4 linked regions of the Callithrix jacchus genome follow. The protein of the gene in region 2 interacts with the protein of the main gene of each other region in a biochemical or structural test. Links are inferred from orthologs where the notes say so. Each region holds a gene or a part of one and is shown on either strand. Other genes may lie near its edges.

Region 1 (7,784 bases), about 51 Mb from region 2:
AAAGGCAAAGACTAACAGATTTTGTTAAAAATAAATCCATCCATACATTACTTGTGAAAATGCACATAAATCAAAGCTGCAAAACATATTAAAAATGAAAAGATGAGAAAATAACCTGGGGACATTCAAACAATAAAGGTAGAGTAATATTGGTACCACATAAAGCAGAATTCAAAGTCCCAAACCTGTCTTGGGGTCAGGGAGACATAAAGCAATTGGTGAGAGGCACCAAGAGAGCCAGGAAGTGAAAAGTTAAGATTCTGGAGTGAAGAGAAGAGCAGCAAAGTAAGGTAATGCTATGAGCTACCTTTCCACTCAGGTGCTTGCTAGTTTTTTAGAGGAACAGATTGAGAGACTGAGGAGCTAAAGAGAGTTATCAGTAGTTTTATGATGTTGAGGATATAAAAAACCCAAATGCCCATTAATGATAGACTAGATAAAGAAAAGGTGGCACATATACACAGTGGAATACTATGCAGCCATAAAAAAGGATGGGTTCAAGACTTTTGCAGGGACATGGATGAAGTTGCAAACCATCATTCTCAGCAAACTAACACAGGAACAGAAAACCAAACACGGCATATTCTCACTCATATGCAGGAGTTGAACAATGAGGAGAGGGGAATATCACATACCAGGGCCTGTCAGGAGTAGGGGACTAGGGAAGGGATAGCATTAGGAGAAATACCTAGTGTAGATGAGGGGTTGATGGGTGCAGCAAACCACTATGGCATGTGTATACCTATGTGACAAACTTGCACATTCTGCACATGTATCCCAGAACTTAAAATAATAAAAAAATTCTCATGTTAAATGCAATGAAGTGTTCTGGATTAGATCCAGGAGCAGACAGAGGATACTAGTAGAGAAAGAGTGGTAAAATTTATAGTTTAGATAACAGTAATATATTGATGTTAATTTCTTGGTTTTGACAAATGTGGTGCTGTCATATATGAAATGTTAGCATTTGAGAAAACTGGGTAAAGGGGATGCAGAAATGTTCTGGGGTGTCTTTGCAATTTTTCTCTAAATCTAAAATTGTTTCAAAGTAAAGTTTATTTAAAAAAAATAAAAGAAAATTGGAGTTTAGAGCTCCTCAAAATGGAGAACACATCAGGCTTTCATTTGGGATCATGAAAAAAATACATCCTAGTTATAAAGGCAAACTGGAAATAGACAGGCTTTTATAAGAATATTGCCTTAAATAAACTCAATCCCTTATTGGATTAAGGGGACCTGTGCTTACTTTAACTGCTGCTAAAACTAAAAGACCCCATTCCAGAGAAAGACAGTATCAACAAAGCACCCATAAATTTTCTTCCAGTGTTCAGTGTTCAATTAAAAAGAATGATCAGGCATATGCAGTACTCAATTTCAAAAAAATTACCAGGCGTACCAATGGACAGAATGGGGAGAGAAAAAAACCACAATTCAGAAAAGAGAAATCCCTAGGTAATCCCACAACCCAGAAAAGAGATATCCAGATCCTTGTGATTAATATTTAAGAAAATAGATGAAAACATGTAGAATTATTCTAAAAACCTGGAATCTATAAAAAATTAAATGAAAAAATCTAGAATTAAAAGTGTAGGGACTAAGGAACACAAGAGATGGGTACTGCAGCAGATTAGAAATAGCTGATGAGAGGACAAATAATGGAAGAAAAGTCAGTAAAGCTATCTAAACGAAAAGAAGAGGAGAAAAACATAGAAAATGTAGAAGTGTTTGACATTGCATGTTCTCACTAATATGTGGGAGCTGAATGATGAGAACACATGGACACATGGCAGATGTCAACACACACTGGGGCCTGCTGTGGTGGGTATGGGGAAGGAGAGCATCAGGAAGACAGCTAACGGATGCTGGGTTTAATACCTGCTCTGTTCAGCAAACCACAGTGTCACGTGTTTACCTTGGTAACAAACCTGCACATCCTGCGCATGTACCCCTGAACTTAAAAGTTGAAAAAAAACCATGTAGAAGTGTTTGAGTTATAAAGAACTTGGGTAAAAAATTTAGCATACATGAAACTGAAGACCCAGATATGAAGAAGAGAGAGAATGGGGGCAGAAGCAATATTTGAAAAGATCATGGCCAAGAGTTTTCTCAAAGTGGCCAAAGTCACAGGTTTAAGAATCAGTACATACACCATGCAGGATAAAAACAAAACTAATTCACAACAAAGTATATCATGGTAAAGTTGCTGAAATAGAGACAAAACATTCTGAAGCAGCAGGGTGTGGCAAAAGGTGATGGTTCTGAAGGAACAACAATAAGACTGACAGCTGGGTTCTTGCAAATAAGAACAAAATATAAGCTTGAAATGTTGAATTTACTACCTAGAAAGTGCTGGAAAAAAAAGATGACTGTCAGCCTAGAATTCTATACTGAGCAAAAATGTGCTTGAAATGAAAGCAAGATAAAGATGCCTAGAATAAGAAAAACAGAAAAAACTACATGATATTCTAAAGGAACTTCTTTAGGAATGAGGAATCCAGGCAAAACCATGAAAATGAAGAAAGCAATGAATAGCAACAGAGGGCTAATATGTGAGAAATAGTGAACAGAATGGCCGTAATGTCTTATGGGCTTAAAACAGACAGACAGCAAATGGGGAAAAAACCCACAAGACAACAGGGGTAGTTGGAGTTAAAAAGTTCTAAAGTTTTTGCATTATCCAAAAAATGTTACAAGTAACAATATGTTTTAGAGTCTAAGTGGAGTGTGATAATCACTAAAATAGTTTGAAACAATGGATAACAAGCTCATAAAGAGGAATGATGAATGGACAATTCTTGATTAGTCCAAAAGAAGGCAAGAATGAAAGGAAACTAGAATATAGAACAAACAGGAAAATGGAAAGCAAATGGTTTTAAACCCAAATATGAGTTAACATTATATGTAAAAAGACTAAATACTCCAACTAACAGACAAAGATTAAATTAAAAACAAAAATTTATATGCTGCTTATAGGCTAACACTTTATATTTAAAGTCACGAAAGGTTTGATTTTAAATTGGATAAAATAAGATACATCCAAAAATGACAATCAAAAAAAGTCAAGTAGATTTTAAGCCAGGAAGCATCACTAAAGTGGGACATTTAATGATAAAAGAATAATATAAAAGAGAAATTTTGTATGCAGCTAATAGCCCAAGAAGAGGTAGAAAATGTAAATGAAATAACTATTGAAGTTAGAGATGTAACTTAAAATACTATCTAAAAAGGAACCAGGATGAGAGAGATTTGGAACCAAGTTCTACAGAACCTCTCAAAAATATATAATTTCTGCTTAAATACTTCAAGACAAAGTGTAATACTTCTCTATCACTTAAAGCTAGAAAAGGAAATATTGTAAGAATCATAAACCAACCAACTTTGTCATCTGAACTCAACATACCAGGAATGCAAGCCAGTATTTAGAAATTTATCAAGAGTGAACATACCGATAACTTGAAGAAAAAATATCAATAGTGTCTGAAAAGGCTTTAGTCACTACTAGAGGAAAACAAGTTAGATCATATTTTAAAATTCCAGCTACACTAAAGATCCAAATTAAAAGAAACAACACACAAAGCAAACTAAACCTGAAGCAACAAAATAATCAAAACAGAAACACTAGAAGAAAACTCAAGAGAATATTTGTGCTCAAGGTCCTTCATTAGATCTGCCTTTTTCCTTTTTACATTTTCCACTTGTCACCTCCTCAGGGCACACACCTCAGAGATTTCTAGCATAGATTTGATGTAAGTTTTTTTTTCTCTTTTGTTTCCTTATTTGTCTTCTCCTATCTCACTGTGAGAGATCTTTGAATGCATATCTTTTTCATCTTGGTCTATCCAGTGCCAAGCACATAGTAGATGCACATTAAAAGATTGGCCAATGAATGATGACCCCTGCCCAGGACCACCTCAACCATTCCAGCCTGCTTGCCTCCTGTGGTGATAGCCAGAAAGAGCCAGAGGCAGATTATCTTTTGAGTAGTGGAAAGAGCATGGGCTTTGGACTCAGATTAATCCATAATGACTCCTGATTATAAGTAATATCGTCCTGTGCAACTGAGTTCTCTGCAGCTCATTTTCTTTAAGGTGCTTTGTATACTACTGGGTCTGTACTCAGTGCTCAGAAACTGTTTGTCCTTACTACTGTTGCTATCATGAAACTTGAATGAGATGGGGAGTCAGTGTAGCTGAGGGTAAAGGATGGGTGATCTTCCCAGCATGTCTCACCAATGGCACAGTACATTAGAGTAAAACTAAGGACAGGGTATCAGGGTGAAAATAAATAGCTTCATTTGCTTCCTTTGCATTATTGTTGATTCTTCTACCTATCACACTGACCACCCTGAAAACCTGTCTCAGTGGTCTTCAACTCTGACTGCTCCTTAGAATCACCTGGCCCCGCCCTGGGCAATTAAATCAGAATGCTCCCCTGGGGCATTTTATGTGTAATAGGGATTGAGTGGTTACTGGCCCTTTACTCTCTGGCTCCTAGTAGAATGAGTCCAACTTGCACAGTCCCAGAAACTGCAAGCATTTTCTTGGAGCAAAAATTGTTTCCTAAGGAAGGTACAGAAAGAACGGGGCTTTGTGCTAGAAGTTTAGAGTCCTAGTCCTGCTGCAAGCTGAAGGTATGACCCCGTAAGCTGCAATACTTCTGCAGTCTGGTTCCCTAGCTAATCAAATAAGCATCATAGAATCTTCTACCTCAAACGGCAATGGGAAGTTTAAAATAGAAAGTAGGTAAGACTTTAAACATTTGAAAGTGACACAAGTGTGATTTGTTAGTGTTTCTATCAGATGTTCCCATCAGGATTCAACAAAATCCTCACTGTGCTACTTACTGGCTGTGGGGCTTTGCACAGCTCATTTTGCTTTTTGAATCCCAGTTTCCTCATCTGTAAGATGGAGCTGACTACTCTCCAAATTGCATATTAGTTCCCATTGCTAGTGGCAAAGTAAGCAATGGGAGCTAAAAAATACAAGATGCTATATTGTTGTGTTTGCTCTTATTATTAGTACTGTTATTCCACTGAATCTAGAGACTCTTTCGTTACCAACCAAGCTGGCGAGGTTGACAGGTACAATTGACTCCACTGCCTGGGAGCTGCCCCCTTAGCTTTCATTACCTTCGCTTTTCTGATGTTGGGTATATGAAGTCACAAGATCAGTACTGGTAAGAGATGAATGTATATAATCTAACAGAAGCAAGATGAAATCCTTTGGTGTGTGGTATCATCAAAGGAGGATGGTCTATAAAGGCACTAGGGTGGACTGAAAAGCAGCCTTGCCCCTAAGCAGATTCTGGCACTTTCCTCTGGCCTCGGCTTTTCCCTCCATGCTGCAGCACATAGTACCTTTCTTTAGAGCTCAGAGGCTTTCTTTCTCTATTGGAGTGGTCTGCATCCTTTCATTGACCATAAGTCCAGTGATTATAAAAGTTGAGGTCTTTGGGAAACCCAAGAATTAGAGTTGTGGACTTGAAAGTGAGAAACGGGGAAAACAGCACAATTATTTCTGATTTGGCTCTGCTGTTTATAGTCTTGCCTGTGCAAAGCAATACAAATTCATGCTGTCAACCAGTGATATAAACAGAATTTTCTTTTCTGAGGCGAAATTTGATAATTATGATGTTGTATCATATCTTGCACCACCCAAAACAGTAGATTGAGGATGTCAGGTTTCAGTACAACAAAATGGAACAAGTCTTTTCAGAAATCACGAACTGTCATTTTGAATGAGACTCTGAAATATGTTCCCACTTACCTACTGAGATAGTCCAGACAGCAATGATTTTCAGAAATGCCTTCGTTCTGGAGTTGAAGCGGCTGTGGTGGATGGGATTCTGGATGGCAACGTAGCGGTCCAGTGAGATGGCGCAGAGGTGCATGATGGAGGCCGTGGAGAAGAGCACATCCAGGTAAATCCAGACTGCGCAAAGCTTGCTGGGCAGAGGCCACCGGTATCCTATGAGGCAGAAAGTTGGTGTCAGCAAACTTATGCCTCCTAGGGCATGTGGATCCCTACCCTATGACAATTTCCAGTTCTGGGACAGGCACAGGTGGTAGCAAAGAGCAACACAGTATATTTTTCGTATTTGAAAAAAGCCACTAACAACTGTACTTAATTATGATATGTGAGCACTGGCTGATGAATACAGGCTTTGGACATTTCTAGTGTCTGGAATTATGGGAGTGTGGCGTGGTAAATCGGATTCTCTCTCTTTGAAGGTTCTCTTTCTTCCCCCTTACACCTGGCAAAACATTTTTTTTAAAGTGACTTACGTCAAAAGTTGTGACGTGTTTTGGCTCCTCTTCTGTAGCACCTCTCATGCCATACTGTCAGGATTTATTCACACATTTACCTGGATTGTATTTCCCTAAGGTCGGTCTCACCTCTTGGCCATTATAACCATCCAGTCCCATGCAGTGATGCTTATGGACATTTTGCCATCCAGTCCCATCAGTGATGGCAATGAATTGCATTGGTGCAAGTGACTAAATGATTAAAAATTCAGATTGTGAATATGTCTATTTGTAAAAATGAAAAATAATGACCTAATAAGGCTTTGGGTGCCAAACTCAAATTTGGGGTATCTGTGGGAGAGCTGAAGACAAGGGTGAAGAAAAATAAGGGAAGGTGTCCTTGCTCTGAGCTTTGTTTTAGGGAGGCATTTCTCAAACTTCAGTGAGCATCAGACTCTCCCACACCTCTTAAAACACGCATTGCTGGACCTCCCTCCAGAGGCTCGGATGCAGTTCGTCTGGAGCAGACTGTAGAATTTGCATTTGAATTAGCAAGCTCCCGGGTGATGCTGATGCTGCACGTCCAGAGACAGCGCTTTGCGAACCGCTGCTTTAGGACGGTGGCTCTCACCCCTGGCTACACATCAGAATCACCCGGAGAGCTTTAGAGAAGGTCCTGATGCCCATGCCAAACCCAGCCCAATTAAATCATGTCTGGAGGTGGGCGTGTGTGACTGAGGTAGACATGAAATGTCAAAGCGTTTGCAAAGCTCCCCAGACAATTCCAGTGTAAGAGACAGTGCAGGTCACCTGCTACATTAGGAGGATTGGACTGCCTTATGGACATAAGCAAAGTGTCCTGGTTTTGTGTTTTGGAGGGGGATCAAGCAGTTATGTAAACCTTAATTAGTTTTGGTCACAGTATAAGCAGCGAAGTTGCTTATACTGTGATCTGTCTGCATGTGAGAAGGAAAATTTTAAAGTCTACTTTTCTTGTTACAGACACATAAAGCCGAACAAACTCTCCAACCAAACGTATACTCTCTACCAAAATGCCGCGAGGGATATTTAGACAAGTAAAGAGCATAGGTACAAGTCTAATTTACAACCGTTCACTTGAATTATTTGCAAAGCGCTTGAACTAACGAAAGCCTTTTCTTTGCAGCGCCTGATGGGGGAAGCCAAGCTCTGTCTATTCGGAACAGATGTTGGCCCCCAGAGGGGTTTTCTATACAAGGAGTGGGCCCAGGCCTCAGTCTGTATGTCCGCGGCAGGATAAGGAGAGGGCATTTCCTTGTGGGAGAAGTCCCACGCCCCATGCCCCACGCCCCGTGGGCTGGGGGTGGTGGAAGTAGTAGCCCAGGGAGGGGCGGGGCTCCGGAGGGAACAGGCTGCACGCTGAGCGGCCACCGCCAGGGGGCGTCCTTGCTCCCCGAGCGGATGGCGCCGCGGGTCATCCCACCCTCCAGCCGCTGTTTAGGTTCCTGCTCTGTCACTCCTCCCACCCCCACTGGAGTTTGCCCCCTAGGGGAGGAGGTTT
Region 2 (7,784 bases):
GCATCACACTACTGGACTTCAAACTATACTACAAGGCTACAGTAATCAAAACAGCATGGTACTGGTACCAAAACAGAGATGTAGACCAATGGAACAGAACAGAGGCATTGGAGGCAACACAGCATATCTACAACCATACAATCTTTGATAAACCTGAGAAAAACAAGCAATGGGGCAAGGATTCCCTGTTTAATAAATGGTGTTGGGAAAACTGGCTAGCCATGTGCAGAAAGCAGAAACTGGACCCCTTCCTGACACCTTACACTAAAATTAACTCCAGATGGATTAAAGATTTAAACATAAGACCTGGCACCATAAAAACCCTAGAAGAAAATCTAGGTAAAACCATTGAGGACATAGGAGTAGGCAAGGACTTCATGAACAAAACACCAAAAGCATTGGCAACAAAAGCCAAAATAGACAAATGGGACCTAATCAAACTCCACAGCTTCTGCACGGCAAAAGAAACAGTCACTAGAGTGAATCGGCAACCAACAGAATGGGAAAAAATTTTTGCAGTTGACCCATCTGACAAAGGGCTGATATCCAGAATTTACAAGAACTCATACAGATTTACAAGAAAAAAACTAACAAGCCCATTCAAAAATGGGCAAAGGATATGAACAGACACTTTACGAAAGAAGACATATATGAGGCCAACAAACATATGAAAAAATGCTCATCATCACTGGTCATTAGAGAAATTCAAATCAAAACTACATTGAGATACCATCTCACGCCAGTTAGAAAGGCGATCATCAAAAAATCTGGAGACAACAGATGCTGGAGAGGACGTGGAGAAAAAGGAACACTTTTATACTGCTGGTGGGAGTGTATTAGTTCAACAATTGTGGAAGACAGTGTGGTGATTCCTCAAGGACCTAGAAATAGAAATTCCATTTGACCCAGCAATCCCATTACTGGGTATATATCCAAAGGACTATAAATCGTTCTACTATAAGGACACATGCACACAAATGTTCATTGCAGCACTGTTTACAATAGCAAAGACCTGGAACCAACCCAAATCCCCATCGATGATAGACTGGACAGGGAAATTGTGGCACATATATACCATGGAATATTATGCAGCAATCAAAAATGATGAGTCCGTGTCCTTTGTAGGGACATGGATGAATCTGGAGAACATCATTCTCAGCAAACTGACACAAGAAGAGAAAATGAAATACAGCATGTTCTCACTCACAGGTGGGTGATGAACAATGAGAACACATGGACACAGGGAGGGGAGCACTACACACTGGGGTCTATTTGGGGGAATAGGGGAGGGACAGCAGTGGGGAGCTAGGGAGGGATAGCATGGGGAGAAATGCCAAATGTGAGTGAAGGGGAGGAAGACAGCAAATCACACTGCCACATGTGTACCTATGCAACTATCTTGCATGTTCTGCACATGTACCCCAAAACCTAAAATGTAATAAATAATAATAGTAGCTACATCCACAATTATCAAATCCATAACCCTGGCTTTAGTCTGAGGTTCAAAAGTGTTAAAGCCCATTGTTTAAAACTATAACTTAATACCTTTTCTAAAGTATTCCTCCCCCAGGTCTAAGACAACACTTCAGGGATACTCAATAAAATGAAAGATTCTAACTCAGTTTCTTTGGCATTATCTAAGGCCATAGTTTTTTCTCTCTAACAAAAAATGTGAAAGATGTGGCCATATTATTTGATAAACTAGCATAAAAGATCTATTGTGTAGCCTACCTGATCAGCTACTCCTCCAGGCAGAATGGTTTTTACTATCACACCAGTTGCTTTTCCTCCTATGATGCCAAATCCCAAACCAGATCCATCATTCACCAATTCAATAGTTTCCACATGTTGCCAGTGAACCTACAAACAAAGCTCATATATGAATTTGTAGAAATTTGCAAAGAACTTTTTATATTACAGTAGAAATTTTTGTGATTATTATTTGGTTAATATTAAATAATTAAATTCAGACATAAAAATGAGCCCTAACAATGTCCCTTTCATTTGGTATACTTGCCTTTCAACAGAATGTAATGCTATGGATAGAACCATTCTTGAAATTATCAATGTATCATCATAATGATTTCATTTCACCAGTTAAAGACAGACACTGATTTGCAAGATCGTCTGTAGAACTTCTCAAAAAAAAAGAAAAAGATCAAGGAAAAAGGAAGGTCACATGTTAAGAATGTCTTCGCATAAACCTGCCTTGAGGCAGGATGCCAAATTAGATGACTTCTTAAAGTCACTGACAGCTAACTGTAACAATATAATTGTATAATTTTTAAAGCAAAATCAAGATTGTACCTGTCTACAGATAAAGTCAATTTTGTTAAAAGACTACATTTTTCATTTTTAAGGAATGCTATCAAAGAAAAAACTACACAAAGAAAAGTAATGGTTGTTTTAGAACCTAGAAGCTTTATCATACGTAAAGGCAAATATTCCAGGCTAAGGAAAGATGAAAGAATAGTTACACAAAAACTCAAGAAATGCAAAGAACCTACACAAATTAGAAACTTGGAGATAACCAAAAAGAACTCGAAAAATATGTTCTGTTCCTTTTGAAAATTGTAGGTACTCACCGGATTAGAGTGAGCTGAAATTGTGCTGGCTGCAGATGGGGAACGGGAAACTATGGGGCTGATAAGCTGAGGCAATGAGCCTCTGGCAATAACTAGTTGGACAGTATCTTTGGCTTTCTGCAGGATGCTGATAGCCTGCTGATGTGTAATCGTCTGATCAAGAGCCTGTCCATTGATAGCAAGAATTTGATCAGTTTCTTTCAATCTTCCATCTCTATCAAGAATGAAAAGGAGAATAAAAGACATCTGAGAGTTCTCAAGGAAATGACAGCTTCTTGGACATGCATGTTCAAGTCATTTTTAATCCTGTTTTTAATTCTCACACTTTTTTTTTCTTTTTTCTTTATTGCATTTTAGGTTTTGGGGTACATGTGAAGAACAAGATTGTTGCATAGGTACACACATGGCAGTGTGATTTGCTGCCTTCCTCCCCAATACCTGTATCTGGCATTTCTCCCCATCAATTCTCACATTTTTTAATCTTTTTCCTGCAGTTCTACTTTAAAATAATATGCTTTGGCTGCAGGTCAGCAATTCTTGTAAGGTTATTCCACTGCTACTCCTACTCAGCCCCTTCCATATAAAAGCATTCTTTATTTCAGCCACCCATTCAACCTACATTACATCTTGGATATTCCTATCTTCTAAAAATGAAAGTGGATATACATAGAGAGTTGGTCCTCTATATCCATGGTTTCCACATCCATAAATTCAACCAACTGGGGATCAAATATAATCAGAAAAAATAACACAATAATAAAAAATCATACAAAATTTTTAAATACAGTATGACTATTAATATTTACATAGGATTTACATTGTGTTAGGCATTATAAGTTATATAAAGACGATTTGAAATATACAGGAGGATATGCACAGGTTACGTACAAATACTACACCATTTTATATAAAGGACTTGAGCATCTGCAGCTATTAGTACCTGCAGGAGTCCTGGAACCAATTCCCCATGGATAATGAGGGACAACTGTAATAAATTGTTGCTTTTGGTATATAAATAATATGCAGCTCAATTTATTATGGATCATTTCTAGTATAGTAATTTTTAAAATCTAATCAAAAAGAGCTCATTTAATTAAAAATGAAAATAATGTTATCCTCAAATTTTTCTTTCCTTATCAAAACAAGTTATGACTATATTTAAAAGCTACTCTCACTTCAAAGGACTTGTTATTTTTATCACAATGTTAATGACTTGTAAAAACTGGTTAATAACATTATATTCAATTTTTTGTTTGTTTCTATTCATTATTATTTTTCTAAATTCTCACATAATGACCAAAACCTTCAGAATGGCTATCAAAAAGAAGATCCTGTGACCATCTCACCTATGTGCAACACTGCCCTCTTGAATCTCTTGTACAAATATTCCCAGTTCTCCTCTGTTTTCACTTCTTAGTCCCACAACACTAAACCCAAGGCCTCCAGATGGAGGTTTGAGGAGCTCAAAAACTTCTACATGGCGACCCTGTTTAGAAAACAAAGAAATAAATAAAATTAAAAGCCAGGCCATGCATGGTGGTTCACGCCCGTAATCCCAGCACTTTGGGAGGCCAAGGTGGGAAGATTACTTGAAGCCAGGAGTTAGAGACCAGACTGGCAACATAATGTGACCCCATCTCTATAAAAAATAAAATAAAACTCAGCTGAGTGTGGTGGTACACATCTATAGTCCTACGTACTCAGGAGGCTGAGGCAGGAGAATCCCAAGCCCAGGAGTTTGGGGCTGTAGTAAGCTATGATCACAACACTGAACTCTAGTGTGGATGACAGAGCAAGATACATCTCAAAAGAAACTTAAATTAAAAACTAATGATGCACAACAGTCATCTTATTAGAATCATTTCTTTGTTAAAAAAAAAAAAAGAAATGAAAAAAAATTTTTCCAAGGTCATTGTTAGCACTTTATCCTGAAGAACAATTTCTATAACACAACATATAATACTCAAATTTAAATGGTGATAAGGAAACTATAATTGAAAAACTCTGAACCATCTAAACTCCCACAAAATTGACTTCCTTTTTGTTCCAATTTTTTCAGATGTTATAAATATCACTATATTCTTCAAATTATCCACAACTTGATCACATTCTTAACTTATTTCAGGTATTACAATAACTAACAGAAAGAAATGTTCTTACCTGGGCCATATTTTTGATAAGCTGATCAAATTCATCACAAGCAGGTTTCCCATTAATGTGTAGAATACCAGATCCTGTAAGTGCTTCCAGATTCCCATTGTTTGGGGATAATAAAAACGATTCATTTTGCAGAGTAGGAATCACAGCTGGGCTGAGATGAGGAATGTGGGCATATTCAGTATTCGAAGTTGCTGAAGTCGAAATATTTACCTAAGAGTAATACAGAGATTATTAAGAATTTTGACATTCCATAAACTATTGCATAGAAAATATCCCAAGGGTATAAGTACATACATATGAAATTTCAAAATGTCCAAATCCTTTGATCCAGCAATTCTATTTTAGGAAATTTATTTCAAGGATAAACGTTAGGATAATAAAGATGTGTGTGCAGCACTAAATGTTCAATGCAGCACCATTTATTAGATGGGAAAATTAAAAAAACCAATTACCTCCAGGGTTGAATTTCAGGGTACTCATTAAAACACACACATAAATATATACATCCACACAAACATTTTTTTTTGTCCCCAGATCCCATGAAGTAACCTCTAAACTCTCAGAATTTCCTGAGTGATGGGGTGTCTTTCTTCTTCATGGTGGGCCACAGATATAAGCCCAAACTCTGAGTCAGATTTTAGTCATGTGGGCAGGACAATCAATCAATCACACCTATGAAATAACACCCCAATAAAAAATTCTTTAGGGGAGGCATAGCATTAGGAGAAATACCTAATATAGATGACAGGTTGATGGGTGCAACAAACCACTATGACACGTGTATACCTATGTAACAAACCTACACATTCTGCAAATGTATCCCAGAACTTAAAGTAAAATAAAATAATTCGAACACCAAGATGAGGTAACATTCCTGGGTTTGCAACACAGTCAAACACATTTCTACATGTGTTTGCACTTTAACCTAAGTGCTATTATGAGAGTCAAAAGTTTTAAAAAATTAAAACTTTATAAAGCAAAATGTTACAATAAAATAAGGTTAATTTATTATTGAAGAAACAAACGTTTTTGTAAATGTAGTATAGCCTAAGTGTACAGTATTTATTAAGTTATGTATAAACTCTATACATAAGAGTTTGTTACCTGTTCTTAAAAACAAAACAGGAAACTCATTAAGTTACCAAAGTTACCAAAAACTTAAACATTACATTGGCTATCTATAGCATACTAGATACACTGGCTATCTGGTGGTGCACCGTAATGTCCTAGGCCTTCACATTCACTCACCACTCATTCACTGATTCACCTACAATAACTTCCAGGCCTGCAGGGTCCATTCATGGTAAGTGTGTCCTATATAGGTGTTCCATTGTTTATCTTTTAACCATATATTTACTGCGCTTTTTCTGTAGTCACACAGATAATTACCATTGTGCTACAACTACATAAGGTACTCCATATAGCATCCTATACAGGTTGGTAGCCTAGAAACAATACCATATAGTCTAGTTGTGTGGGAGGCTATACCACTTAAGTTTGTGTAAGTATACCCTATGATGTTTGTACAAGGATGCAATCACCTAATGACACATGGCTGTACGCTCTACATATTGTCCCACATGAATTCTGGCAAAGTTATACTTTCCCAGGAAAATGAAAGCTTCCAGTTGGGAATCCGCCCATAATCTGCACTACGCATCTCTTTGTTTGGCTGACCCTTAATTGCATCCTTTCCCTACAATAGATCATAATCATGAGTATAACAGATTTCAGAGAATTCTCTAAGACCTTATAGTGAATTATGAAACCTCAAGGTGGCTAGGGCTAGGGGAACCTTGCAAACTTGCAGCTGATGTCAGAAGTGAGGGTGGTTTTGTGTATCCCTATACCTTTAACTTTGTAGCTGGACCCTAACTCACTGCAGTTGGTCTCAGATGTATGGGGCAGCACTAGCAGTCTGGAGGACTGTGCCCTCAAACTATGCTGTCTGGCTAGCTCTAAGTACAATGACACATGTAACAATAGAAAAGATCATCCCACTCTGGGAAATGATTCTATAATTATTTGTGTGTGCCTATTACAAAGAGTTTGAAGTTAAATCTAAATAGTAGATAAAGCAATGCAGTCAATCCTAATTTCATAATTATGCTGGATGCCTGGAATGTGACTTTTTATCTATAATTACATATCAGAAAGCTTACTTCAATGATGTTTTTGGGTCACTCTCTGACCTCATCTCCTAGCAGTCTATCCCTTCCCTTACCCACTAAGCTCCAGTTGTGCTCCCTGCCTCACTGTGCCTCAAAGTGCCAAGCTGTTCACTCTACCAGACAGCTATATCCTTCCCCAAATATCCACATACTTCTTTATTTTATTCAGGTGTGCCCAGTCTCACCTCAGAAAGGTCTTTCTTGGCATTCTTATCCAAGATAGCACCATTATACTCCATGAACTTACCCTGTCCTATTTTAATTCATGGCATTCATTACCACCTGATCCATACCCTGCTGTCATGAAGCTTTCATCCTAGCCAGTGGAGACAGACTAGAATGTAAAATCCCTCCAGCAGAAAAATCTGACTATTTTATTTTTACTATGCCCTCATTCTCTAGAAGAATGCCTTATACAAAGTTGATGTTCAACATACGCAGGCAGAAAAATATGTTTATCTATTTTTTAAGGACCTAACTCTAATCCAATCTGCTGAACAACCCTTCAAATATCATCTCAATTTTACAGATTATGAAATTGTTACACAGTCACACACCTAAGTTGTTTATGACCTAGATTTTTTTCATCATGGTATTCCTATCATCTTTGTATTATACACGAAACATAGAGTCCTTGTATCATACACAAAACAATTGAGATATCATGTTTTGAAATAAGACATTAGGTAAATTTCAGACATTAGGTAAATCCATTGACAGAAGCTATCAAAATATTTTACAATATGTCACCAAAATCTATACAAAAGAGTTTGTTACCTGTCCTTAAAAATAAAGCAGAAAACTCATTAAGTCACCAAAGTTATCAATAACTTAACCATTATATTGGCTATCTGCTATCACAAAAAAA
Region 3 (8,318 bases), about 52 Mb from region 2:
ACTCCTTTGTCATCTCTCTTACAAGGATACATGTGATTGCATTTTGGGCCCACCTAAAAACACAAAATAAACTCCTTTCCTCAAGATCCTTAATTAACTGCCATTTGTGCCACATAAGATCACATTTACAGAATCCAGGATTTGAATATGGGCATGTCTTTGGTGCCAATGTCTAGCCCACTATACTAGGTAATTCTTTTCTCTGTCTTATCACGGAACAGGCCCTCCTGCACATAAAGTTGGTGGCTTTCTAAATTCCATGAGTTTTCAAATTTTGTTTCCATTCTTCCTCTTTCTTAATGACCTAAATAGAAATATGATTCACGTTGACTTTTTCCTTTGTATTTAATCTTGCACTATGAAAACAAACTTCTGTCTCTGATGCCCTACCAACTTATTAGTGTTTCTGATCTTTTAAAAATCACAGGTGTGTGTTTACAAGAACATACCCTCTAGACTTAAGCTTATGTCTCTAAAAGCCTTGTGGCTGGTACATTAGGGTAATCAGCAAGAAACTAGTCCTGTTTCTCTTCAACTCACTTTGTCAACTGAGAACAAACTTGGAGATCTCCTACAAAACTGGAGTTGATGCTCATCTCTTGATTACTTCTACAGGCCTTTGAGAGTTCCAGAGAAGTTCTCTGTGTGCTCTATACATTAAACATACTGCCATGTTTTCCTTTAAATCATCAAGAGCAGCACATTGGATAATGTGTTTATTCCTTTCTCTGCTCCTTAGGATTATTTTCCTTTTAAAGTCATAGACCCTTCCCCATCTACTCTAAAAGAATGATTTCATGTTCCCTCCTGACACTTCTGGTTAAAATGACACTGCATCTCCTTATATCATCTGTCCAAATTGTACAAAGAAAGAGTGTCTACTGGGCACTCTTCAGCAAAGTTACTGCCTATAAAGTGCTTAGAGATCCCAGGCTGTCCTAAAAAATAAAAGAAAGTCTTGAATAGGTTTCTCCTTTCTCTGAGGTTTACAGATTCAGAAGCAGGGGGTGGGGAGAAAGCATTTCCCTCATTATCTTTCGAATATTCTTGAAGCATATTCTGCTCCCTGAAAACCCGATATTCAAAAGTTAGCTCTGGGAGTAGGATTGATTTTTTTCACTTTGTTTATTCTAAATTTTTCAATTAATTAATTTTCTTTTTCTGAGGCAGTCTTGCTCTGACACCTAGGCTGGAGTGCAATGGTGTGATCCCAGCTCACTGCAGCCACAACCTCTCCATCTCAAGCAATCCTCACACTTCAGCTTCCTGAGTAGTAGAGACTATAGACACATGCCACCATGCCCGGCTAATGTTTTTTTTTTTTTTTTTTTTAAGAGATGGGGTCTTACTGTGTTGCTCAGGCTGCTCTCAAACTCTGGGACTCAAGAGATTTTCCTGCCTCAGCTTCCCAAAGTGCTGGGGTTATAGCAGTGAGCCACTGCATCCAGCCCACTTTATTTATTTTAATGAGATGAACATTAGTCAATTAATTAAGTTTTTTTTATACAGTCTCACTCAGTTGCCCAGGCTGGAGTGCAGTGGCGCAATCTTGGCTCACTGCAACCTCCACCTTCTGGGTTCAAGTGATTCTCCTGCCTCAGCCTCCCAAGTAGCTGGGACTACAGGCATGCACCACCACGCCCAGCTAATTTTTGTATTTTAAGTAGATATGGAGTTTTACCATATTGGCCAGGTGGGTTTCAATCTCCTGACCTCATGATTTGCCTATCTTGGCCTCTCAAAGTGCTGGAATTACAGGTGTGAGCCACTGTGCCAGCCAATTGGGCTTTTATTGGAGGAGAATGAATATCTATGGTGATTGCTTGTAGAATTAAATGTTGTTTCAAGCTTTTTGCCCCCTAAAGATGAGAATGATAATATAATATGTGTAGACTGTGAGTTCCGTGAGTTCTAATTGAGATAAATAAAATATTAGAAATAGGATCCCAGGCCCAGGAAGAACCTTGTCTTCAGAGGAGCAACCTTGGTCCCAGCCCCTCTCCACAGCTGCATGAAGAAGCTGCACAGAAAACCCTCACCCTCACCCCCAGTTCTGGAGTGTGAAGGTAAGATCTACATCGTCCTGGTGATAGTCATTGTTGGAGAACTCTGGGACATGCAGGAAATAGATCCAGGGCCTCTTCCTTTTTATTGACACAGCAGCAGCAGTTTGGAGCTTTCCAGGAAGACCTACTTTTTATTTCCCCCAAGTTTCAATATTTGGGGCACTTGTGGGAACTAGAGATGGGGTGAGGTTTGGCTCTTGGCACTAGGCTAGAGTTGGGCTTGAAAGGGATGGGGAAGGGCGCTAGAATCAGTGGTCTTCAGAGTTGAAGGAGATCTTGGGTGAGGGGATAGCAAGAACCAGGGCCTGTCTTTCCCATGGCCATGGGGCAGCAGAAGGCACAAGGAGAACAGCGTATGTAGGGCTGTGTTGGAGATGGTTAGGGAGCTCTCCAGACCCTGCTCTGGGTTCCAGGCCTGGTGTGACAGTGACTAGCTGTGTGCCATGACCACGCTGCTCAACAAGTCTGTGCCTCTGTTTCTTCATGGGTGTCATGAAGGGACTGGACTCCCTGTTTGTTTAGGTCTGTTCAGTTCCAGCGAACGAACTACAAACAAGCAAAAAAACCAAGCCTGCCTTGTTTATTTTCAAGAAAGCATTTGCTAATTTCTTTCCAATACAGCCAGTTCCCTTATTTACCATTTTGTGCTCCTCTCAGGCCCCAAAATAGTGCTTTTTATTTTTAGAGATAAGCAAATAGTTCAGTTTGACTGGAGCATGGGAAGAAAGTGGGAAAGCAACTGATAGGAATAGAACTTGAAAGGAAATCTGGGGTTGGACTATGAAGGCCAAATTACTCCTAGACGTGGGCATAAGAACACATTGTCCTGGTGCCATTCTTTGACCAGAGAGAACTAGCCCCTTGGGACAGAAAAGGGCTGAATGAGGACCAGACACAGATTAGAGCTCTCCCTGATCCTCATCCAACCCCTTTCTTGACCCGAGGGGGCTGGGAGTCTGTGGGGCTAAGGGACACTTCCTTGTTTGTACTGTGCTCTGGATACTTGGGAAGTCCCCAGCCAAATGTCCTCAAATGCTATGAGCTGTTCCCTAGTTGCATCAGAGCATAAAGTTTGTATAGCCCTACGTCCTACAGGTGGCCAAGAGCAGCTGCTTTCAGGCATTGGGGACAAGGACATGAGGGCTAGAATTCCCCATGCCTAAGTGTGGAGCTCCTCATACGTGGGAGGGAGCTGGGAGTGGGAAGAGGACGAGGACAGCTGCAGGCTTTACCAGCTCTTCTGAGGTGGCCACATTCCAGCCCAGACCTCAAACACAAAGGAGTCTGAGAAGTGAGTACAAATGTATAGTATGGGGATCTGACAATTTAGAAATGAATATTTAATGCTACAAAAAAGTAGTGATGGTGGGCAGGGCATGGTGGCTCAGGCCTATAATCCTAGCACTTTGGAAGGGTGAGGTGGGCAGATTAAAAGGTCACGAGTTTGAGACCAGCCTGGCCAATATGGTGAAACCCCGTCTCTACTAAAAATACAAAAATTAGCTGGGCATGGTGGCGCGTGCCTGTAGTCCCCGCTACTCAGGAGGCTGAGGCAGGAGAACTGCTGGAACCCAGGAGGTGGAGGTTGCCGTGAGCTGAGATCGTGCCACTGCACTCCAGCCTGGGCAACAGAGCAAGACTCCATCTCGGGGGAAAAAAAAAAAAGAGTAGTGCTAGTGATAAGCTCTACAAAACAGACTACAGCAGAGTTAGGGGGAGTATATGTGTGGATAACTATTTTAGAAAGGGAGGCCAGTGAAGTCTTGTGGGAGGTAGTGGCCCTTAAGTAGAGAGTTAAGTGGAGTGAGGAAGACAGGGCAAAGGCATCTCAGCACAGGGACTTGGACCAGCAGCAGGGAAGGCCATGTGGCTAGGGTCATACATGCATAAGAAGGGCCAATCAGGTTGGGCTTTTGCAGATCATGGTAAAGATTTTTATTTTGAATAATGTGTGTGCTCCTTTTTACCAGCCATGAATGCTATCCATTTGTTTATGTGATTAACTCATCAAAGTTTATAAAAGTTATTTATTACTCTTTAAGGAAGAGAGGTGTTTATTTTGAGAATCGTGGGAAGTCACTGCAGGGTTTTTAAGCAAGGGAATGAACGATATGACCTGCTCTTTAAAAGCATCACTGTAGCGCAGTAGAGCAGTGAGAGTAGAAACAGGAAAGCAATTAGGGTGTTACTGTAGCGTTCTTTTTCCTTTTTCTTTTCTTTTGAGACAGAGTCTCACCCTGTCCCCCAGGCTAAAATGCAGTGGCACGATCTCGACTCATTGCGACCTCTGCCTCCCGGGTCTAGCAATTCTCCTGCCTCAGCCTCCCAAGTAGCTGTTATTACAGGCACCTGCCACCTTGCCCATCTAATTTTTGTATTTTTAGTAGAGATGAGATTTCACCATCTTGGTCAGCCTGGTCTCAAACTCCTGACCTCAGGTGATCCACGGACCTCAGCCTCCCAAAGTACTGGGATTACAGGCTGTGCCTGGCCCTCTTTTTCTTTTTTTTTTTTTTTGCTTTTAATATTGATGTCAGTATTTCTTTTTTTTTTTTTTTAATTTTTATTTATTTATTTATTTATTTTTTTTTAGGGAAAAAGAGAAAAAGAAGGGGAAAAAAAGAAAAAGAGGGAAAAAGGAATATTACTTCATTCCTAAAATGGGTTTCAATAATGGCCGATCAATATTTTGAGTGTTTAAAGTGGTTAATGCATATTTTATGTGTTTAAAATGGAGACCTCTGTTGTGTTTATTTGTTCTGGTTCTGAGTTCAAGTCCTGGATATCTTATCAATTTGTTGTCTCGTTGAATCTAAATCTCATTATGTGTCTTATGTATCTGGGTGTTAAGATCTCTTATTGTTGTATTAATCCTTTTACCCTTGCATCCTTGTAGCTTTGAAATCTATTTTATTAAGTGTGAGAATTGCAACTCCTGCTTTTTATTTATTTATTTTTGCTCTCCATTTGGTTGGTGAGCTTTTTTCCATCCCCTTGTTTTGAGTCTTTGTATATCTTTAGATATATCGTTAGATTTTGTGGATAATGAATATTTTGTGTGTTTAAAATGGAGAGCCCTATTGAGTTTATTTGTTCTGGATCTTAGTTCCAGTCCCGGATATCGTTATCAATTTTCTGTCTCGTTGAATCTAAATCTCATTATGGGTCTTATGTATCTGGGTGTTAAGATCTCTTATTATTACATTAATCCTTTTATCCTTGTATCCTTGTAGCTTTGAAATCTATTTTGTCAAATGTGAAAATTGCAACTCCTGCTTATTTATTTATTTTTGCTCTCCATTTGGTTGGTACGTTTTTTTTTTTTCCAACCCTTTATTTTGAGTCTATGTATATCTTTGGATATACCGTTAGATTTTGTCTGTATCTTTTGATTGGGAGGTTTGGTCGATTTAAATTTAGGGTTGCTGCCGTTTGATATTAACTGGCTATTTTGTCCTTTCATTGATAAAAATTCTTCTTTATGTTAATGCTCTTTACTTTTTGGTGTATTTTTAGAAAGGGTCATACTGGTTGTTCCTTTCTGTGTATAGTGCTTCTTTTAGAAGTTCTTGTAAAGCAGGCCTGGTGGTAATAAAATCTCTGAGTACTTGCTTGTTCCTAAAAATTTTTATTTTTCCTTCAAATGTAAAGCTTAAATTGGCAGGATATGAAATTCTGGGCTGAAAGTTCTGTTGATTAAGTATATTGAATATTGGCCCCCACTCTCTTCTAGCTTGTAGGGTTTCCGTTGAGAGATCTGCTGTAAGCCTAATAGGCTTACCTTTATGGGTAACTTGATCTTTCTCTCTGGCTGCCCTTAATATTTTCTCCTTCGTTTCGATCTTGGTGAATCTGACGATTATGTGCCTTGGGGTTGGTCTTCTTGAGGAATATCTTTGTGGTGTTCTCTGTATTGCCTGGGGTTGAATAGTGTCCTGCTTTGCTAAATTAGGAAAATTTTCCTGGATAATGTCCTGGAGAGTATTTTCCAGCTTGAATTCATTCTCTCCGTCACATTCAGGTACACCAATCAAGCGTATATTAGGTCTTTTCACATAGTCCCATATTGCTTGGAGACTTTGCTCATTCCTTTTTATCCTTTTTTCTCTATTCTTGTCTTGTTGTGTTGTTTCATTAAGTTGATCTTCGACCTCTGATACCCTTTCTTCTGCTTGATCCATTCGGCTGTTTAAGCTTGTACATGTTTCACTAAGTTCTCGTGTTGTATTTTTCAACTCCATAAGTTCATTTGTATTCCTCTCTATATTGTCTATTCTTTTCAACATTTCATCTAATCTTTTTTCCAAGTTTTTAGTTTCTTTACATTGGGTTAGAACAAGTTCCTTTAACTCCCAGAAGTTTCTTATCATCCACCTTTTAAAGCCTACTTCAGATATTGGAACACAATCCTTTTCCATCAGGGCTTGTTCCGTTACTGATGAGTCCTTTTCCATCAGGGCTTATTCTGCTGCTGATGAGTCCTTTTCCATCAGGGCTTGTTCTGTTGCTGATGGGTTCTGATTTTGAGTATACTCGGCCTTCTTAGGCTGTTTTTTTCCCTTCATTGTAGATGAACCGCCTTTCTAATTAGTTTTCTGAGTCGACGTCCGACTTATTGATTCCCAGTGTTGGGATCCGAGCAACCCACTGTGGCAGCCTAAATAGCAGCGGTAAGACTGATGGTGCTCTTCTGCCCAGGAATCTCTGGTCTGGCTTCCTTCTTGAGTCCGCAACAAGCGGCTCTGACTTCCCAGAGCTCCAAACTCCGGTCAGTAGGGGAAGCAGTCCCGTTGGCTCTGCATGAAGAGCTGCTGCGCCGAGACGCCGGCAAAACCACTGCGGCGGCCACAAGAGTCGTGCTAGCGACCCGTGGGGCTCCTCCACTGGGAATCGGCTGATCGGTGAGTGACGAAAATTTGTCTAAAAGTGTGGCGTCGTCTCGTTCTCTGGGCTTTCACTGGGAGCTACAATCCTGAGCTGTTAGTGGTCGGCCATCTTGGATTGATCTCCCGGCCCTCTTTTTCTTAAGACTTTTAGTTAATTTTTGAAAACTATTTATCTCTAAAAATTGGGGTAAAATATATATGACATAAATGTTACCATTTTAACTGTTTTTTTTTTAAAGTGTACAGTTCAGTGGCATGAAATACATTTACAGTATTTTACAACCATCACCAACATCCATCTCCAGAACTTGTTTCATCTTACAAAACAGTTTTCTTTAAACACCACCTCACTATTTCCCTCTGCTAAAAGATAAACTGCAGCACACTAAGATTTTAAAGACTTTATTGGCGCAGACAGCAATTTATTAATTGGGTAGTGCCAAGGAGTCAAGATGAAGCCTTTTATGGGGTGAATGCAGAAGCAAGCTGAAGAATATTTGATTGGTTAAAGAGCAGTGTGGGGGAGTATTGGCAATATTAAGTCTTCCAATCCATGAATATAGGATGTCTCTCTATTTATTCATGTATTCTTTGTTTTGTTTCATTTGTATATCTTTAATTTCTTTCAGCAATGTTTTGTGCTTTTCAGCATACAGTCTTTCACTTTCTTAGGTGAATTTCTAAGTTTATCTTTAAAGATATTTTTAATTTAAAAAAATTATAACTTTTAATTGGCCAGTAATAATTGCACATATTTATGGGGTACAGTGTGATATTTTGATATATGTATACAATATATAATTAGGGTATTTAGCATATTCACCACCTTAAACATTTGGCATTTATTTTTGAAAATATTCACAGTTTGCTTATCTAGCTATTTGAAAATGTACAATAAATTGTTGTTTATTGCAGTCACCCTACAGTGCTGTAGAACACTACAACTTATTCCTCTTATCTAGATGTCCATCGATCAACTTTTGTGTCTGTTAATCAAACTCTGTTTATCTCTCCCTGCCTCCTCCCATTCCCAGCCTCTGGTAACCACTATTCTACTCTCTACTTCTGTAAGGTCGACTATTTTATCTTCCATTTATGAGTGAGAATATGCAGTATTTATCTTTCTGTTCCTGGCTTATTTCACTTAACATAATGTCTTCCAAGCTCATCCATGTTGCCACAGATGACAGAATTTAGTTCTTTTTAAATCAATAAATAGTATTCAATCAGGAATATATGACGCAATTTTCATCCATCTTTCTGTTGATGAACATTCAGGGTGATCCCATATCTTGGCTATTGTGAATAGTGCTACAATAAACATGAGAGTGCAGAGATCTCAACAAGATCCAGTAATTCTACTACT
Region 4 (8,269 bases), on a different chromosome or scaffold from region 2:
ACTCAGCTTCTTGTCCCTCAGTCTCTCAGCATTAACAGCACTTTCTCCTTTGCTCTACTTCTTTATTGGTAGCTGAATCTCCACAAGAAATGTTGCATGTCTATCTCATTGCCTTGCCAAGCTGCATATCGAGGACTAATAGACATTGTCCATTAATATCCTCACATCCACATGCAGATTTGTTCTGTTCAAAGGCCAGTTGTTACAGTATGAAAGAAAAATTAGCCAATTTCTAAACAGAGACAATAGTTTGTTGTTTAACAGCACGGCCTCTCGAATAAAACTGCCTGGTTTCAAGCTTGGTTTTGTTCATTCAGTTTGAGCAGATTAACTTCTTTATATGTCTCAGTTTCCCTAACTGCAAACTGGATAGTAGTAGTACCTTCTCATGGGGTAGTCATGAGGCTTATATGAGTATATACCTGTAAACCTCTTAGAACTGTGTAGTGCATGGTAAATGTCAATAAATACTGGCCATTGTTATCATCTTTTATATCTGTCTTATGAAGACTTGCTAACTTGGGCTAACTACTTTGATTACAGGAAGCTATACTTGAAGAGTATTCAGTGAATCTTGATTCCTGAGATAAAATGAGATACATACATTTAAAATACACTTGCAAAAGATTTGGCATTAAAAAATATATTATGTTTTATGAAAAAATAAAGGAAACCCTAGTCAATTCATTCATTGCTACCCTTGTATAGACATTAGTTGACATTGTCTTCGGTTTCAGTGGTGTTCAGTTTTCACTTCATATTTTTACATTGAGCTCACCCCTATACCCTGCCACTAATGTTAATTCAACTCTGAATTTAAATACCCATATATGACTGGTGGCTGTTGCATTGGACAATGCAATACTAAAGGCTTTCTAATAGCTTTCAATAAATTTATGCATAGTTCTTAATAGATAATAATAACAATATGTTACCCAAGGGGGTACTTGTATTTAAAAGAGACAACTACTAAGATTAAAGAGGAAAATTCCTGAATGTAGAATCAAGTTATATGGAAAACCATGAAGGCTACTAGTCGAGGGACCAGGCATATAGAGAATTCCTTTCTAGTGTCTCTCAAATTAGACCATGTAAGTGGTCATCTATGAATAAGGTTAACTATAGTTAACAAGGTTGACTGTATCAAATGCCAGCTATATGTACAATGCTGTGATAAGCAAGTATTTTAGGAAACAGCAGATGGCACAGTCTTAGCCACAGCTGAGAGGAGGAATAAATATCAAGGTTGAAGTAGAGATGCCGGGTAGAAGGAGACAAAAACAGAATTAAAATTCCATCTTACGTACATCTTATTTGAAATCCTGCCTTCGCTCTGTCATTTGTGCATTAAAATGTCAGAAGTGATTGGCAAAGAGTTGTTGTAGGTGAGCATTAGTATTAAATCTGCTAGTGACTTGCCAAATGATGATGCAACTTAACCACTTGGTTGGTTTCAATGTTATTTGTCTAGAATGGAGATGACTAGACTGTTTTGCAGCAATGTTTTCAGTATATGAAAAAACCTTCTTAAAATGTCTTGAAGAATGGCAGTGTTGGAGAGATCCATGACTTGAACACACATTAGGCTGTTGACTGGTGATTTCTTTTTGAGGTTCAACAGTACAATATGTAGGTAAAATAACATAGGTAGCCTAGAATGCTAACAAATAAATAATATTATTAATATATAATATTAATATAAATAATATAAATTATTGCTTAGTGCAACAATTTAAAATTTTCAAAGTGCTTAATACCCATCTGTTTCACAACAATCACGTGGGGTTATATATGATATTGACATTAAATATCACAATAATATATTATTAACTTTAATTTATGATGAAGTTTTCCTAGTTTGCTTATGGCTACCCAGGCAGCTAGAGTGACATAATTTAGCAGTTCTTCCACTAGACAACACTAAGCCGTATCAGATGCTTTACTAAAATAATCTCAGTGCACATACATTGTGCTTTTGTGAGATATTACATTGCTATGAAAGTGAGGTGGTAAGATGCTCTTTAATAATACTGGCCAAATCGTCTGGAGCTTCAGGAGCCATTAGAACCTGGGAATTAATTATCTCCCAGTGGGCTCAGCAAACTGCAGCCTCCTTCAGTCTCAAACCTTGAACAACTTAATAAGAACAGCTGAGGGATATTTAATGTTGGTTACTGATAATCTCTCCTCCAAATTTTGTTTTAATTTTTGTGTTTCCCTTAGCTGGAGAGGGATGACATTCCCTTGAAGGAAATACATGGAACAGTAAAATTACTGAAGTTTACTCAATTATAATGTTGGGCTAATCCATTAGAAGGTTAGGCTTTTCAGATTTTACTTTTATTGCTACAGAAATAAACACGCTCTTCCCAAGTAGCCTTGGAAACATAAATAAATATTTCTTATTCTCTTGCCTTAAATTAATTTTTGAGAATACCTTGAGAAATTGAGGGGAAAAATCTAATGGCACCAAAAAAATGGAGGATAAGAATATCTTCGTCATTCATAGACTTGCTATGAAGACTATATGATGTAATATACATATGTAATAGTCCTGGATCCACGTACGGCATCCAGAAGGTTCTCAGAAATATCAGTTCTCACCTCACTTATGATGAATTCATATTGCACAAAAGCCACATTATCTGAAAAAGTCATCAATGTCATCCATGCCACCTCTAGATGGAGATAAACCCCTCAAGAAAGCATAGAAAGGGTTAATAACCCTCTCTAGATAATGCAGATAGAAAAACACTGTTATTGTTGCTAAAGCATCCCAAATCCTACCTTGACGACATTGCAATCACAAACCTTATCCACCTTCCGAATTTCAGGACTTGCGTTGGGCTTGCTGTAGATGATAGATGCCATTAGGAAAGAAATCATGTTTATGAAACAAATACTTTCTTCCCTCCCCAAGAGGATCAGAAGAATTTATTTAGGGAATGAAAACTATAATTAAATATTCTATAACCTGCCTCCCCAAAATATGGACAAAATTATTTATTTCCCCCCACCTGTGGGGTGGAATGGGTGGAGGGTGATTGTAGATTATTCCAAAACAACCAGGTGCTAAGGAAATAATACTCTTCAGAAAAGACAATATTCAGTATGACATAAGTAGTGCAGAAGAGATGCAATGATTGCGGTATATATCATTTTCTGTGGGACATGTCAGTTGGCCTTTTGATTTGTCTACACATATGTAGCCAACTACACAGTAACACCTTGTTTCTATTGCACTCATATTTTGCTTGTCAGAATGGCTGATAAGCATGTAAACTTCTTCATGAAAAAATTAAACTGTAGAACCCAGATATCTTTTATCATTACTGTGTGTATGAGGTCGCAATTGCCTGCAAACTGGGGAGCTCAGAGGTTACTCACTGCGCAACATTTTCTCTCCCCACATCTCCCCCCACCCATCATCTTAGCTCAACTGTATACGAGCGTCCCTTGGTTAGCCTGCCTAAAAGGTATGTGGTAAGGGGCATATGCACTTAGTGGCTCAGCAATCAGAAGCCTCCTTGGATGGGACATGTACTGGGAAATATTAATGAAGAAGCTGTGCGATACTAGCAGTGATTCCCGACAAAATTAGGTATCTTTTAACTGCCGAATGTCCCTATCTGAATTTTGAGTCGAAGAACGCTGTCGCTTAAAATACAGGGTTCTCAAACACAATGCAAATGTCTGTCACCTTAGGTCACATGCTACCCAACAGGAAGCAAAAGGCAAAGGGCATGGCGCAGAAAAGAAACAGACACACAGACACGTTTTGCAATGACGAACTTTATGTGACATCAGGAACGGCAACCTGTTCTCATGTTTAGCAATTCCGAGGTACCCTGTAAAGAATGCTTGTCAGGTTAAACTGAGTAAAGGGACAGGAGTAAGAGGCAGCGCTGCAGACTTTTCCGCAATCCTTTTCAAAATATAGAACTGTAACCAAATGACTTAGATAAGCTAATAATAATAATAAAAGGTTCACTGGATGCCCTTATCCTCTCCTCTTAAGCTTAGGTGACCATCAGCAGCGCTGTTCAAATTCAGCTAACAGCTGTTATTAGAACGAGACTCAGATCCGCAGTGTGTATCTCCCCAGAGTTACGGATGTTCTCTGAGACCCTCCGAAAAATCAGGGTCGGTTTTCAACGAGAACATAATAAAGGATCCTTAGTTCCCCCTCTATCCGCACCGTCCCAAACCTTGAGCCCCCTCCCACTTCCCTGCAGTAGGATTTCTTAACATCGTAGTCGGTCCTCCAACTCAGTTGCACCTTCCGCAGCCCGACCCTCTACTCAGCGACATTGTGTTCAGTTTCCCTCCTTTCTCTCCTCCCCCTCCTCACTTCTGACACCCCACCCCCGCCTTCCGTTTCAGTCTCGGCTTCCCACGCGCCAGGTTTTCTAGACCCCCGCCTCCGCCCAGCGCCTTCATCTGGAGCCCCCGCTCCCAATCCCCTTCGAGACTTCAGTGCTCCTTCCTTGGAACCTAATCGCCCCTCTTCTTCCAGAGACTCAGTCTCCACGCGATTTGCGCGTTCAGAGTCCCTCCCCACAACCTCCACTAGGGCCAGTGCAGTCCTGCAGGCTGCAGCCATCCGGGACCTGTCCCCGCTCCCCACCCCATCCCCCCACAAATCGTTAGGGTCTAGGCTAGCAATGCCGCCCAGGGCTCCAACTTACCACTAGCGTCCGGGAGGAAGATGAAGCAGCGGTCGCCGCGGCGGCAGCTAGACGAGAAACGGACTCGGCTGCAATCGCCCAGCGGAGCCCGCGGCAGTCGGTGCGCTGCGCTGCGCTGCGCGCCGCAACCTCACGCCTCGGCGGAGGGAGAGGAACGGAGGGAGCTCGGCGCAATGGGAAGCGCCGGCGAGTCGACCTCCTTTAGGCGACCGTGCGCCCCCCGGCTAGGTTTGGCTTTTCTCTCTCCACTATCTTACTCTAGCTTAGTAACTGACCACCTCCAGCATCTCTGCACTAATCGCTTCTTCTTTCTTCTTCGTTGGCCCCTAACTAACTACACTACTCTAAACGGACGAAGACCATCACACGAGCGCCACGACGATCTCGACGACTCCGACGACAACGAAGCACAGACAGAGAGAAGAAAAGTTCATAAGCAATCAGCAGGTAAGGGGAAAGGCAGGCCAATGGAGCAGCCAAGGCTAGCAATTCAGCGGCTCCAAAGGCAGAATCGGTGCATCTGAGGAAGGAAGCGTCCTCAGCGAGCACCAGACCGCCTGCCTAGCGCGGGTGAATCTGCACCGCGCTCTTGAGCCAAACGCGGGATGAGGGGAGGAGCCAAAAGAAGCCAATCAGCGATCAGCATTACGTTGCCCCCGGGCCTGTTTGGACCGGACTGTTAGTGCATCTGGAGCCTGCTAGCAGAGGGCGGGAGACCCCGTGGTGGGGGTGGGGGTGATGATTAACTTAATTCACTAGGCCTGGAGAGTGGGGGGCAACAAAGATCAGCTATGGCACCTGATGGAGGGAGAGGGAAGGTACCCTCAAAGATTCACAGCATACTCCTCCTCAAACACACACACACACCCTGTACATTTCATTTCAACAAACAGTATTTCCAAGTCTTGCAAATTTCACCGAGCTTTGAAACTCCTTTCAAGGGTCTCTGTTCCGACTCTTGTCCATTTCTCCAATAGTAGCAACTGAGGCACTCACAGGGTCAACATTTGGTGAGTGCACAAAGGCCACAACCCTGCCATAAGGCCCACTTCCCCATCCTTGCCTCCTCATCTTTCTTCTATTCCCAAAGGGGAAAGGAAAGATCTTGGCCTTCGACCCCCAGGAAGGCACAGTTTAGTTCCTTTCTAGACCCTACAAGCCTCGTTAGAAAGACACCTTGAGGGCAGCCCTTACGGGTTTCCAAGGGGCTGAACCTATCTCTCTGGCACAGGGACTTGGGCCCACAGCCAGTCGGTTGCCCAGCAGTTGCAGGGCGAGGGAGGAGGGGGGCTGTCAGTGCAAAGTTAACGTAGCAAGAGTTGAGCCACAAGGCTCTCTTCTGGCAACTGCTGGGATGCCGAGTGCAACGGGGCAGGCAGAGCTCTTTTTCAAAGGCTCCCAGGCGCCGCCGGGCAGGTGCCTGCGGTGTCCGTGTCCTAGCGGCAGCGCAGAAAGGTGAACGGGGCTGCCTTGGCCAAGACGCCTCAGAGGCACCAAAACCAAGCTTAGTAATGGAGATGATCCCACTGAGAGTGGGGACAGAAGCAGATCTCTCCTAAGGGGGAACGAAGGGGCGAGCGGGGGTGGTGGTCCCGGGTGACGGCCAAGGTTTCCGCGGCCGGGTACCGAGGACCAGGGTGTAGAAAAGTAGAGATTGGCTCCTCGCCAGTCAGAGGTAGCTGGACCGAAGCAAAAGGTAGAGACTCCAGTTTGGCTGTTTATGACCGGACGGCAGCGCAGCGATTGTGTAGATGAGGCTGCAGGGAAACCTTGCGGAGGCTTGGAGGTCCTAATCCCGCAGAATGCAAAAGGGGTGGGAGCGGCCGGCCGTTCTGAAGGCTAAAGTTTGTCTCAATAGCTCCAAAAGTTAGGTATGGAGAAGTAGGTAGGAGCAATGATAAGGGTCAGGCCCTCTTCCTTATTCTGGATGCCCTAGGACCAGTTAGTTCTCTCTGTGTCTCCGTTTCCAGATTTGTGATAGGAACTGTCCGGTCTATTCCAAAAGGGGCATTTTGGGAATCCTGATTCCCTCCATCGCCACTGAATTCAGGCTCTGAAATTTAATTTGACATTGAACATACTGTCCACACCCAAGTTCTGTTTCGCAGAGCAAAAACCCATCGCAGTTTTCCTGAAGCATCTGTTGAATGCTACTATATGATGCCGCACAGGTGGCGGCTACAGCGCTGCCAAGTCCACCGACTGCACAACGCTCTCATCTTTAGAAATGCTTTGGTAGCGAACAGTAATTTATAAATATCGAAGAGAAAACGTATGTCTTCTCTTTAAATAATTAAGCACTCATCTTTAAAAACTCCCCAAGTGTCCCCTTTCTCTATGAATGTGGAGTGCTTAGTTTTGCCTTTCCTGGCGGGACTTGTATTTATTTTGTCAGAGGCTGAGACATGTATATTACTTCAAAAAATGTAAATACAAATCCCTGTGATATGTTTGCTAAGGCAAAATCTGCCGAGCAAAGAGTGCAAGATAGCATCCACCAAAAACTGTTCTCGCTTCCCAGCTCCCGGGGGGAACCGGCTTGGAGAAATGGACCATGATAATAGCAATTATGAGGATGAAGATAATAGTAATAATAGTTTTTATTATATATATGTGTGTGTGTGTATACACTCACACTCTGCTCTTAAGGCTGTTCTCTCCTTCTCGTCAAAGGCAAAAATGCCGAGAGAGACAGGGGTGAAGCCCACTTGGTGGTTGGGAAGGCTCCCGGAGCAGCAGTGAGAAAATTAGCTAGCCACGCGGCTTGCTGAAAGCTTGCCTGGGCTTCGGAGTTCGGGTAGAAACAGGCAGGCAAGTTCGCCTTTGAGCGGCGCTCGCCGAGCGGCCCGGAGTCTGTAAGACTGAGCCGAAGCGGTACGCGGCGAGGCTGCGGGTACCGGGTTCGGCCAGGACCGAAGGCTCCGCTTTCTTGGCATTTGCGGCGCGTACTGCCTCTACAGGTTCTCTAGGCTGCGGCTTGGCCGAGCGCTCCAAGATCCGACAGAGTTTGGAGATTCTGGCAACACTAGGTCGGAGAATACAGCGTGAGGAGAAATTTTGAGCGCACTTTAAGACTGGGGAAGCAAACTCAAAACAAGCACATGCTGGCGCTTTCTGTCACTCTGTAGTTGCCAGAGAGGTTTTCTGGAACTCCTGCCTAAGGAGGCCGGGGGGAGTCAGCGCAGCGTTTTCACTGCTTTCCCTTCCCTTCCTCAGGTGTTTGGAAATTGTCCCTGGAAAGAGGAGTTATTTACAGTGAATTCCTCGGGTTTGAGGAAAATCCCCAATGCCCTCCGGAACACAGTTTCCAAATATTCTCAGGTTTCTAAGGATGTGGACCTGTTTTTACAACTTTCGAACCAGAGGGTTTTCCTCCTACCACAAATACATATGCTTCCAAAACTACTGGTTTAGAAATTCAGGAAAGAATTAAAGAAGATTGTTACTACGTAGGGAAAAAGTTCCACATCGTTTGAAACTTCGGGAACTTTAAAAAAAATAAGTCATTGTAACTGACTAGAAAGTTTACTTCTCTACTCATTATTATTTCCCCTCTTGACCAGAGAGCCCTATTTTAACAC

The links.
Region 1: the proteins of MPDZ (region 2) and HTR2A form a complex in vitro, tested with the Homo sapiens proteins (2 studies listed by IntAct, with this or other methods). The link is inferred for Callithrix jacchus from reciprocal best matches to the Homo sapiens genes MPDZ and HTR2A.
Region 3: the proteins of MPDZ (region 2) and CYSLTR2 interact in a test that uses a peptide from one of them, tested with the Homo sapiens proteins (2 studies listed by IntAct, with this or other methods). The link is inferred for Callithrix jacchus from reciprocal best matches to the Homo sapiens genes MPDZ and CYSLTR2.
Region 4: the proteins of MPDZ (region 2) and HTR2C form a complex in vitro, tested with the Homo sapiens proteins (3 studies listed by BioGRID and IntAct, with this or other methods). The link is inferred for Callithrix jacchus from reciprocal best matches to the Homo sapiens genes MPDZ and HTR2C.

Annotation. Positions count from the first base shown.
Region 1 is NC_133502.1:69,162,983-69,170,766, reverse strand, and holds part of HTR2A (5-hydroxytryptamine receptor 2A), read right to left. Parts: intron 5,967-7,784; coding exon 5,766-5,966; intron 1-5,765. UniProt on the Homo sapiens protein: G-protein coupled receptor for 5-hydroxytryptamine (serotonin).
Region 2 is NC_133502.1:119,760,399-119,768,182, forward strand, and holds part of MPDZ (multiple PDZ domain protein), read right to left. Parts: intron 4,956-7,784; coding exon 4,746-4,955; intron 4,072-4,745; coding exon 3,932-4,071; intron 2,800-3,931; coding exon 2,586-2,799; intron 1,861-2,585; coding exon 1,732-1,860; intron 1-1,731. UniProt on the Homo sapiens protein: Member of the NMDAR signaling complex that may play a role in control of AMPAR potentiation and synaptic plasticity in excitatory synapses. Promotes clustering of HT2RC at the cell surface.
Region 3 is NC_133502.1:67,302,172-67,310,489, reverse strand, and holds the start of CYSLTR2 (cysteinyl leukotriene receptor 2), read left to right. Parts: upstream 1-3,117; 5' UTR 3,118-3,357; intron 3,358-6,636; exon of another isoform or gene 6,637-6,764; 5' UTR 6,765-6,967; intron 6,968-8,318. UniProt on the Homo sapiens protein: Receptor for cysteinyl leukotrienes. The response is mediated via a G-protein that activates a phosphatidylinositol-calcium second messenger system.
Region 4 is NC_133524.1:110,814,608-110,822,876, reverse strand, and holds the start of HTR2C (5-hydroxytryptamine receptor 2C), read right to left. Parts: upstream 5,252-8,269; 5' UTR 4,689-5,251; intron 1-4,688. UniProt on the Homo sapiens protein: G-protein coupled receptor for 5-hydroxytryptamine (serotonin).